Linked DNA regions of Cricetulus griseus. The protein of the gene in region 1 interacts with the protein of each later gene in a pairwise test. Links are inferred from orthologs where the notes say so. Each region holds a gene or a part of one and is shown in the gene's direction. Other genes may lie near its edges.

Region 1 (3,480 bases):
TAATTCAGTCTCTCCATTGCCATGATCATTCTCAACTGCCCACATACAAATCAGACCAGGTTTTTCTCTTCAGGCATTGCCAACTGTGAAACTGTCTAGGTTAAAGAAGGGGGAATCCACGTGACACTGGATGCAGATGTTAAAGATACACAGCTTTCTCCCATTCTCCTGATTTACTGCATTGGAGAACTTTTATACCATGCTGTCATGGTATGAAGAAGAGGGTGAAGCTCTGTCCACAGCTCAGACTGCCCAGTGTTACTCAGTGTGGGGCCCAGACAGCAGTGACCCTAAAGTTCATCGAGTTAATTATCTATGACTGCACTTCTCCTTGCCCAGAAAAAGACATACATTTAATTTTCTCTAAGTAAAAAAATATATTGTTTCCTTATTAGGACATCTAGCTAGTGTGGGGCCCATAATCACTTTTGTATTTGTATTTATGCATATGCTGTATTAATATGTTTACTCATTTAAAAGAGATCCCTTTTATGATACAGTCCATTTTTATTAATTTATGCAATATGCACTACATTATTATTGTAGGCTGTGTTTTTTTACCCAGTACTCACATGTGTATGTTACATACCAGTTTACTGAATAGAGACTGTGAATTTTAAAATGTTTGTCATTTGATGACACAATAATTTAAAGCAAATTCTGTTAACTTTAATTTTGGATGAAGAAGCAAACAGAATGTTTGAGCCAGGTCACATGGAGAAAAACCCTGGGCCTAGTGCTTTATGTGGCTACAGCAGTTCTCAAGGCTCTGCAGTTGTTAAAGAGTGAGAACTGACCTATGATTTTGAGGTTTTAGAATGTTGTCTGTGTAACTAATTAGACTATTTTAAAAGTATTAAGATGCATGGATTTGGCCATGCCTGTAATTAACCTTAATTTAATTATTAACTCCAAAGCCATTGCTTTCCCACCTCTCAGCATTGTCAGGAAGATAAACCTAATGAACTCTGTTATACTTACCACACACAAAAAAACAAGTAACCATTTTTCATTCTGGACATGTCAACCGAGAATGTTCACCAACACTTAAAGCTCTAATGGAACATAGGGAAGCTGGTAGAGACAAAGATGCTTTGTAGTGGGTGCTGGAGGAAGATGAAGATCAGAAGGGAGTTGAGTGACTGGGAATGGGGAACCAAGCTGGTGGGTGGGGCAGGCAGTAAGTGCTGCTGGTTAAATACCCTGTGATTTTTTTGTGTTCTCTCTGCCTCTGATTCTCAGGTGCCCAAATGGACCAGCCCTGCTGCCGTGCCCTGTATGACTTTGAACCTGAAAATGAAGGGGAACTGGGTTTTAAAGAGGGTGATATCATCACACTCACTAATCAAATTGATGAGAACTGGTATGAGGGGATGCTTCATGGCCAGTCTGGCTTTTTCCCCATCAACTATGTAGAAATTCTGGTTGCTCTGCCCCATTAGGATCTTATGCTGGCTGGCTCACCTCCTTCTGACCCAGATAGTTAAGTTTAACCACTGCTTTGGTAATGCTGCTTCCAACACATCATGAATGCAGGCCGCAGTGGATGAGTCATCAAGCCCACACATGTCCTGGGTTGACCTGTGTGCTCCTACAGTTGACCTGGTGATAGACGGTATCTTCCAAGGCCAGTGGGTCTGGCACATGCTTTAAAACTCCATCTGAGACTAGCCAGTGGTTACAGAACTGCTCTTCACACAGTTCTCAGGAGGGTGCGGTTTTTGATAATAAATCTGTGAGCCACCTCACAGAAAAACTCTCCTCACTGAAGATATTGTCTCTCACCCAGGGGCCATTTCAAGGTCTGGAGTTCCCCATGTACAGAGGAGAAAGTCCTTTCTGTTGCACTTTCCCTTCCTAAATGTGTGAGTCACAGAATTGTTGGTGAAGCATCCCCCACCAGCAAATTGTCTGCTGGCCTAAACAACTTGGACTTTTGATGCCATCAGCAGAAGTATTAATTGTCCAAAGCACTTTTGTTCTCATCCATCTATCTTTCTATCTATCTATCTATCTATCTATCTATCTATCTATCTATCTATCCATCTAGCTATCTATCCATCCATCTTCTATCATCTATCTATCTATCTATCTATCTATCTATCTATCTATCATCTATCTCCTACTTCTGAGACATACCAGTTTTCTTCCCTCCCTTCTGTTAAAGCACTAGAGAGGTGGCGTTCCCACTTATTTCTGAGTGAGTTGGTGAGCATTGTGTATATTGTCTGAAAAGAGAAAATTCTCCAGGATGAATTGGGAAGAATCTGATCTCCAAGCTCAGATTCCTTGCTGTATAGAAGCTGTATATATACGTAGCCCATTTCTGAAGGATACAGGAAGGGGGAACAGCTGTCTTCCCTTCTCTGTTTATTTACCCAGGAATCAGTCCATTTCCTGAGTCCCTCTGCCACAAAAACATAGGAGAGAAACACTAGTAAGCATTTCCCACATCTTCATAGAACAAGACATAGTGACCGTTGCTCCTTCCCACTTTTATCTTGTTTGTGTTCCTTGAACATCATTTGTGTATATTCTGCCCTCAATGAGGACCAAATAAAGATGATTTTTGTGCTTAGCAGTTTAAGTATGTGGCTGCATATAAAACCCTTTCACACTTTAGTCATTACTTTAACCCTTCTATCGCATCTTCATTTTGTGTGTACAGTGCTGTGCAAGCTGATCAGTGTTGTTTTTATTTTGTGTTTTCTCTGGTTCTTTTCCCCTTCAGTCATGGAAGTCCTGTTAGGCACCCAGAGTTCTATTTATCTAGCTGTACAGGCTATTTCAGAGGTTTAATGTGCTGCTTCCGATATGCCACTTGCAGTAGTGGTTCATGTGGAGTGAAAGGTAAATCTTCCTGCTTAATGTATAAACTCACCATGGGAAGCGTTGCTGTTTCCAATAAATATTGCTGAAGATGAAACAGAGGGTTCTGCCTCTTCCTTATTTATCAGTTCCTTGGTCTGACAGTGGGTGGACTAAGACTCCTTTGATCTCCATTGCCATTGAATGCAGCCAATCCAGACCTGGTCCCAACCTCATCTCCAGCTTGTTGCATACAGGAGAGAGAGGTTCAAGAAACAAAAGGTGAGCTAGAGTAGGCACTGGCAGCAGTAATGCCAGGAAGGAGAAAAACTTGGCGGAGAGGGTAAGTAAGAGAAGAAAGTTATGTGATTTAACAAACAGTGATGTCAGCAGGAGAACACAGTGTTAAAAAGAGGAAAATAAAGTATCTTGGCCAGACTTTTGGCTTTGTTTTGAATACTCCTTTATTTTAATTTCATATATGTATGTAGAAAAAATATCATTTCTCCCTCTTATTTCCTCCTTCAACTTCTCAAGTGTCCCCCAATACACCTTTCAACCAACTTGGAGTCTTTAAATCCAGTTAGTGTTGATCATGTGTGTAAGTATGGGGCTATGCATGAAGCATGGAAAACCTACCAGTGGCCAAAACTTCAAAAAAGGAGGATTCTT
Region 2 (3,654 bases), on another chromosome or scaffold:
TCACGCTACAGAAACACATTGTTAAAAATGCATAGCAGTGGGCCTGGAGAGTCAGCTCAGTCAGTGGTAAGAGCACTGGCTACTCTTGTAAGAGGACCCAGGTTTGGTTCCCAGCACCCACATGACTGCTCATAACAGTCTATACCTAGTTCCGAGGGATCCAAAGCTCTCTTCTGGTCTCTGTGGGCACTGCACACATGTGTTGCACAAACTTACTTACATACAGGCAAAATACATGCATATAATAAAAATAAATCTTTTTAAAAGATGTATATATAGGTCCAGCAAGTTGGCTCAATTATGAAAATCACTGTGCGTGCAACCCTGGCAACTGGAGTTCAAAACTCCAGAATCCATAAGAAGGTAGAAGGAGAAAACCAGCTCTGCTGACTATCACATGAAAGCCATGTCATGTTCCTTCACTCTCACCCCATAGCTAGCATACACACACATCAATAATAATTTTAAAGTTTTTAAATGCATAGTTAAAGTTGGTATAATGTATGTCTTGCCTATTCAAGAAGCTAAAGCAGGAAGTTTGGTTGAGCCTAAGAGTTTGGAGCCAGCCAGGCAATGTAGAAAGAACGTTGAATATAAAAATAAATCAAGCCGGGTGTTGGTGGTGCACGCCTTTAATCCCAGCACTCAGGAGGCAGAGGCAGGTGGATCTCTGTGAGTTCGAGGCCAGCCTGGTCTTCAGAGCGAGTGCCAGGATAGGCTCCAAAGCTATACAAAGAAACCCTGCCTCGAAAAAAAAAATAATAATAATAAAATAAATCAAAACTGGATGTGGTAGTAGAATCGGAACCCATCATGTGAGAAGCTAAGTTCTCTTAGACGTTCAAGGTCATCCTGAGCATAATGAGTTTGAGGGTTTGAACTACATAATGAGAGTTGAGGCTCCATTAGTCCCTCCTTCTAATTAATTGCTAAATTTTACAAATGTGGCTAAGGATGTTAACTTCGTGGTAGACTCTGTACTTAGTGTGCAGGATATTCTGGCTTTGATCCTGAGCATAAAATGTGAGGTAGTAGTAAAGCTATTTCATCCTGGCTGAGTATGTATGGTTTGATGCAGTCAGGAGGATGGTGGGTTCCAGGCCAACTTGGGGTGTGAAAGAAAAAGAAAAGAATAAAAATCTTGAATTTTTTTTACAGGCGGCAATATCAAGACCTTTTTCCAGTTGACTAATTTAATTTTGAGACTTGATGAACATAATCACTGTTACTGCAATGGCTGTGGTTTCCATGATGAAAGTGGTGCAGCATTTTGCTAGAGCTTCCTTCAGAGTTATTTGTTGTTTTCCCCTTCTTGAGCTAGAACAGGGCCTTCTGGGCAAAGCTCTGCCTTAATCTGTGTCTCCCCACCTTTTCCTTTTCTTGTTTGTGTTCTAAATACTTAGGAATTAATTACTAATGAAATTTCAGATTTCTTGGGCTTCTCTACCAACCATCTTTATGAAACCCCGTAAGTAGAGGATTTTTGTCCCTTCGTTGGATTGCTACAAAGGAAACAATAAACAGTGGGTGGGGTTTTAATATATGTGGTTTAAGAATGAGACTTTTGGACCAGTCATCATCATCCAGCAGCATAGGCTCCATTAGGAGACCGTGTCTCCAAGAAGGAAAGTACTGTAAGTACTGTCATGGTTATAGGTGGCTTCTAACAAGACAGAGACTCTCTGACTTACAGAAAACCATCACGTTGAAAACACTTGAGATTAGGCTGCGGTGGTTTTCTCATTACCATGTCTGTTGGCTCTTACAGTTTAGGAAGCTTGACCGAGGTCTAAACAAAACCACCTCCATCAGTCTAAGCCAGATACTGAGGAACACTGGTGACAGCTGTCGCCTTGGTGGTTTGGTGTACAGGTCATCCCCAGCTCTGACATTCTTCTGAGATGCATTCACCATTCAAGACCACACTATTGGGAATAGAGTGTCCTTCATTGTCCATCCTCTATACCACTGAGGTGGTACACAGCCAGCATCCTCCATGCTGGCCATTGTCAGGAGCTTTGCTGACTCTGTTTTTGTTTCTCTGCCACATTCCGTGTTTGCTGACATATTATCTGAAGAGCATGAACGTGATATAACAGCTTGGGTGTGAAGGGCTCAGGGTCTGGTACTGGGAGACCTATGACTTAAGAGCACTCCATTTTCTGCTTGCTATTAAGTTTGAACCCATGAGCTATCCAGAGTCACGGGAATAGTGAGTGAGGCCTTCCCAGGTTTTTCATGTTCAGCCTGCTGTTGTGAAGGCACAGGTTTGCCTAATACTTCATCTTGTTTGGTACCAAGGTGGGGCCCATACTAGATGGATAAAAACCTGCCCCTGGGTCTTTTGTCTTTGTGATCACATTTTAATAGGGTCATCATGTTTCCTTTGTTATTCTAGTGAACAGGATGGGGTGGGCAGTTTCATCTCCAGGCTTAATTAGGAGCTCCTCAGTAGGAATCAGGAGTGGAATGGATGCTGTGACTGACATGGCAATGACCTTGTCCTTGCCCCTAGCTTCACTAATGTGGGCACTGAGACTGTAGGACAGTAGCATGGTGAGTGTAGCCAAATGATGGCCTTGAGAGAGAGAGAGGCTGTACCTGTCTTCATGTGAGCCAGAGTGATTTTTGGAGTTGTTTCTGCCCTCCAAAAGAAATAGGATTATTTTGAGTAAACTCAAATTAACTCAATGTTGATGTAATGTGCAGAGCTGTAACATGTGAGTTAATGCTGACCTTGTTAAGCAGAGCCCTTATGTCTATTTTCCAGTCTGCCTGATGTAAATGGATGCAGAGAATGCCAGTGGCATGGGTTAGATTGTAGTGGTTGTGAAAGCATTCAGTGAAGCTTTGGGATTGGGCTGGGATTGGTCATCAGCATGTATCAATTGTATACATTCCTTTTCCTTTTGCCTTAGTTTCCACGGGCTCCCTTGCTCAGCAGTATGCACATCCTAATGCCACCCTGCATCCACATACGCCCCATCCTCAGCCTTCGGCCACTCCCACTGGACAGCAACAAAGCCAGCATGGTGGAAATCATCCTGCACCCAGTCCTGTTCAGGTAAGAAGAGCCGTGGCCTGTGCATGCACAGCTGCTTCCTTGTCCCTGCTACTTACACGTCTCTGTGTGATCAGGACATATGAGACAGCCATCCTTATGTAGCTGCAGGTAGTTGTGGGTTCAGGGGAGGGCTTGAAAATGTCAAGTAAGCCGTACCCTCGGGGTAAATGCCGGAAACATGAGTGTGGAAAAGCTACTTTAGACTTAACAAAGAACTTTAAGCTAAAGTACTGTCTGGAATTTCATTCCTGAAGCCACTCAATAATGCTGCTTTCCTATTGGCTGCTGCTTTTTTTTTCCCCCAAGATGGTTTCTCTGTGTAATAGTCCTGAGTGTCTTGGAACTCATTTTGTAGACCACACTGGCCTCAAACTCACAGAGATCTGCCTCTGCCTCTGCCTCCCAAGTGCTGGGATTAAAGGCTTGGCCACCACTGCCCAGCTGCCTGTTGGCTTCTTTAGTCATATTAGCTAGTGGGGCAGTTGACAGCCTGACATCTTGTCGGTTGTTCCACCTCTGCTTGTTTGTACCTGTAACTGCCAGGCTGAGACTTGGGCTTGAGAACCCAGAAAAGACCATCTGGACAAGAG
Region 3 (3,654 bases), on another chromosome or scaffold:
ATGCCTGTACTCCCAACACTTAAGAGGTGGAAGCAGGAAGATAAGGATTTTATGGTCATCCTTGTCTGCATAGTGAGTTTGGCCTGGGCTTCATGAGGTCAAGATGAATAGTAGTAATTATGATAAAATAATAATTAACATCAACTTCTAGATTTATCTTTCTTTTTAATATTTTATTTTTTTATTATGCATGCAGCATTCTGCTTCCATGTACATCTGCACACCAGAAGAGGGCACCAGATCTCATAAGGGATGGTTGTGAGCCACCATGTGGTTGCTGGGAATTGAACTCAGGACCTCTGGAAGAGCAGTCAGTGCTCTTAACCTCTGAGCCATCTCTCCAGCCCCTAGATTTATCTTTCTTGTAATCCTGGCCCATTGTGTGACTAGACTTGCTTTTGTTTTGTTGTATTGTATTGTGTTTTTGTTTGTTTGGTTGGTTTTGATTTTCATTATTATTACATTATTATCATCATCATCATCATCATCATTATTATTATTAGTGTGTGTACATTATTATCATTATTATTATTATTATTATTATTAGTGTGTGTGTGCGTGTGTGTGTGTGTGTGTGTGTGTGTGTGCGCGCGTGTGAATGGTGTTTGAGGGGCATGCATACCATAGCATACATGTATACATGTGGAGGTCAGGAGAAACTTTCTGGAGTCAGTGCTCTCTGTCCACCTTTTTGTGGACTCTGGAGATCAAACCAGGCTTGTGCATCAAGAGCCTCTAATGAGCTGAGCCATCTCACTGGCCCTGTTGGTTTGATTATTTGTTTTGAAAAAAAGGTCTTGCTATGTAGTCTTGGCTGCCTAATACTCACTATGTAGTCAAGGCTAGCTTTGAACTGACTACTATCCTGCCATAGCTTCCTGAGTCCTGGGACTAGAGGCATGCCCTGCAACACCTGCTATAGACTTCTTTACTGCCCTGTCTCAAGTATCTCCTATGCCCTTTGGCACAATTCTCATCAGTATGGCTGTAAATCATATTCTGACCTGCCTCATATCCTGTGACCCCACCCAGCCAAGTCTGCTGATGACACACAGAATATCTTCTAAGCTGTGCAAGACTAAACACTATGTGCCATGACAGACATTCAACAGCACACACATAAAAGGTTCCTGGTATCCAAGTGGACTGTGGCTAGGTCCATTCCATGAAGAACTTTCAAAAGAATCGATTTTGAAGAAAAATGATGATGAGAAGCATAAATTGTGCCTGGAAATGTTTTTTAAAATGGGACATAGAGCTAGCCGGTGATGGCATACACCTGTAATCCCAGTTGGGGGGGGGGCACAAAAAGCAGGGGGATCTCTGTGAGTTCGAGGCCATCCTGGTCTACAAAGTGAGGTCCAGGATGGCCAGAGCTGTTATACAGAGAAACCCATTCTTGAAAAACCAGAGGAGGAGGAGGAGGAGGAAGAGGAGGAGGAAGAGGAGGAGGAGGAAGAAGAGGAGGAGGAGAAGGAGGAAGGGGAGTAGGAGGAAGGAGAGAGAGGAAGAGAAGGAACAGGGAAAGGGAAAGGGAAAAGGAAAGGAAATGGAAAGGAAAAGGGAAGGGAAGTGAAAGAGGAAAGAGAAATGGAAGAGAAGGGAAAGGGAAAAGGAAAGGGAAAGGGAGGGAGAAGGGAAGGGGAAAGGGAGGGCAGGGCAGGGCACATGAAACAAAAGTAGCTCCTCCAAAGAAGACTGAGGCCAATGAGTAGAAAGTCCAGTCTCTTGCAAAGCTGACTAGGTAATTTTTAAGAGTGGATCAGGAAACCTCACAGAGTCGTAATGGCAGAGGCATGGATAAGTATCCAGAGGGCTTTTGAGATGCCCAGGTCTCTGTGTCCCAGAACTCATTCTCCAGTTGATTGAAAGGTCTCTTTTGAATTAACTCTTTTTGAGGGGGGGGGTCGAGACAGGGTTTCTCTGTGTAGCTTTGGAGCCTGTCCTGGCACTCGCTCTGGAGACCAGGCTGGCCTCGAACTCACAGAAATCCGACTGCCTCTGCCTCACGAGTGCTGGGATTAAAGGTGGGCGCCACCAACGCCCAGCTTTGAATTAACTCTTAAGAGAATGGAAAAGAGTATGTCTCTATTCTTCAGAAAGCTTCCTGGTGGGTGAAAATCTTGGAATCTTTCTGTTGATTTAAAAAGTCATGGTTCCACTGAGAACCCATTCTGTAGTTTAAATCATATAACAGACTAGATAAAAAAAAAGAATTAAAGAAAGAACCAAAAAAATAACTTAAAGAAAAATATAAAAAACAAATATAAAAAATATTAAAAATCCCATGTTTTACCAGGGAAAACATAGCCTTCTGTTGATGGGCCTCAACAAAGTCCTGCTATGTCTGCCCTCCTTCCTTTCATATGGTATTTTAAATCTGAACAAAGGGGGAAATCTCAATACTCTCTCTCAAGCCATTCTGATACTTAGCCCTTCTTTTATCTATCACTGTTTTTCACTGACAAAGTTAGTGTGTTGCCAGGGACATAGGAAGTACAGCCAGAAGTGGCCCATCAATGATGACTCTCAAACCTGATCATTTTTAAATTTATTTTCTTCATTCTTTGACAATTTCATACACGTATCTAATGTATTTTGGTCATTTTGACACCCCCTCCCATTAGCCTCTCATCCCACTCCTGCTGAACGCCTTTATCCAAAGTCTCCCTCCTAGTTTTGTGTCTTTGTTGTTTTGTTTTGTTTTTTCTTAGGGTGGGTGGTGACCTACTGAGTTTAATTAATTAGAGTTGCTTGCATGAGCATGGGGTGAGGGTAGTTATTTACTGAAGCAGGGCAGTTTACCAGTATCTACACCATTGAAGAAAATGACTCCCCCCCCCATTAACCATTACCTACCAACAGCTCCTCAAAGAAGATGGGGCCTCATAAGCCTCTCCCCTCCATTCGTAATGGAATGTTGATAGGATCCATCTTGTGCAAGTTACCATAGCTAGCATGAGCTCCTGAGTGCAATATCCATGTTATGTTCAGAGGACAGTGTTTCACAGCACAACTGCTCATCCTCTGGTACTCATAGTTTTCCATCCCCTCTTCCATGACATTCCCTGAGATTTGGAGGAGGGTGTTATAAAGTTATTATTTGGGGCTGATTCTGGAAACATTTACTTCCTGCATTTTGACACTTCCAAAATGTTTGATTGTTCAAGAATGATCTCAACCAAATGGGAATTCTCCTGTCTTGCTTTTTGGTTTAGTTATCCCTGAAAACTCTGTGAAGGAATTTCTCAGAGCACCTGGGACCATCAAAGATCGAATCAAGAAGTTACTGGCTCACAAGCACAATATGAAGAAAAAGGTGAAGCTGAAAAATGTCACCCCAAGACCCACCAGTACACACACCCCTAAGGTTAACTTGCCTTTCAGCTCTGAAGAGAGCATTTCCAGGGGCGGAAACTCTGATGGAGAGCAAAAGAGGACGGAAGAGAGAAAGGGAGAGGGGCTGGAGGAAGAAAAAAGAGACAAAATCCTACAGAATGCGATAGAACAGGAGCGAAGCCTTCGAGGAGATGTGTTTTGTAAGTATTGCTTTCGTTATTCTAGCATTTTACAAAAACAAACATGATTCCTCATGAGAAATCAATGAACAAGAGTAGACAATTCCTGCCATAAGAAAGATGGCTTAGTTCCCTT

What was found.
Region 2: the proteins of Sh3gl2 (region 1) and Atxn2 interact in binary tests that used the Homo sapiens proteins (3 or more experiments, as listed by UniProt). The link is inferred for Cricetulus griseus from reciprocal best matches to the Homo sapiens genes SH3GL2 and ATXN2.
Region 3: the proteins of Sh3gl2 (region 1) and Egfl6 interact in a two-hybrid assay, tested with the Homo sapiens proteins (2 studies listed by BioGRID and IntAct). The link is inferred for Cricetulus griseus from reciprocal best matches to the Homo sapiens genes SH3GL2 and EGFL6.

The regions. Positions count from the first base shown.
Region 1 is NC_048595.1:62,445,608-62,449,087, reverse strand, and holds the end of Sh3gl2 (endophilin-A1), read left to right. Parts: intron 1-1,242; coding exon 1,243-1,442; 3' UTR 1,443-2,926; downstream 2,927-3,480. UniProt on the Homo sapiens protein: Implicated in synaptic vesicle endocytosis. May recruit other proteins to membranes with high curvature. Required for BDNF-dependent dendrite outgrowth.
Region 2 is NC_048597.1:101,656,850-101,660,503, forward strand, and holds part of Atxn2 (ataxin-2), read left to right. Parts: intron 1-2,918; coding exon 2,919-3,064; intron 3,065-3,654. UniProt on the Homo sapiens protein: Involved in EGFR trafficking, acting as negative regulator of endocytic EGFR internalization at the plasma membrane.
Region 3 is NC_048604.1:101,321,151-101,324,804, reverse strand, and holds part of Egfl6 (epidermal growth factor-like protein 6), read left to right. Parts: intron 1-3,218; coding exon 3,219-3,539; intron 3,540-3,654.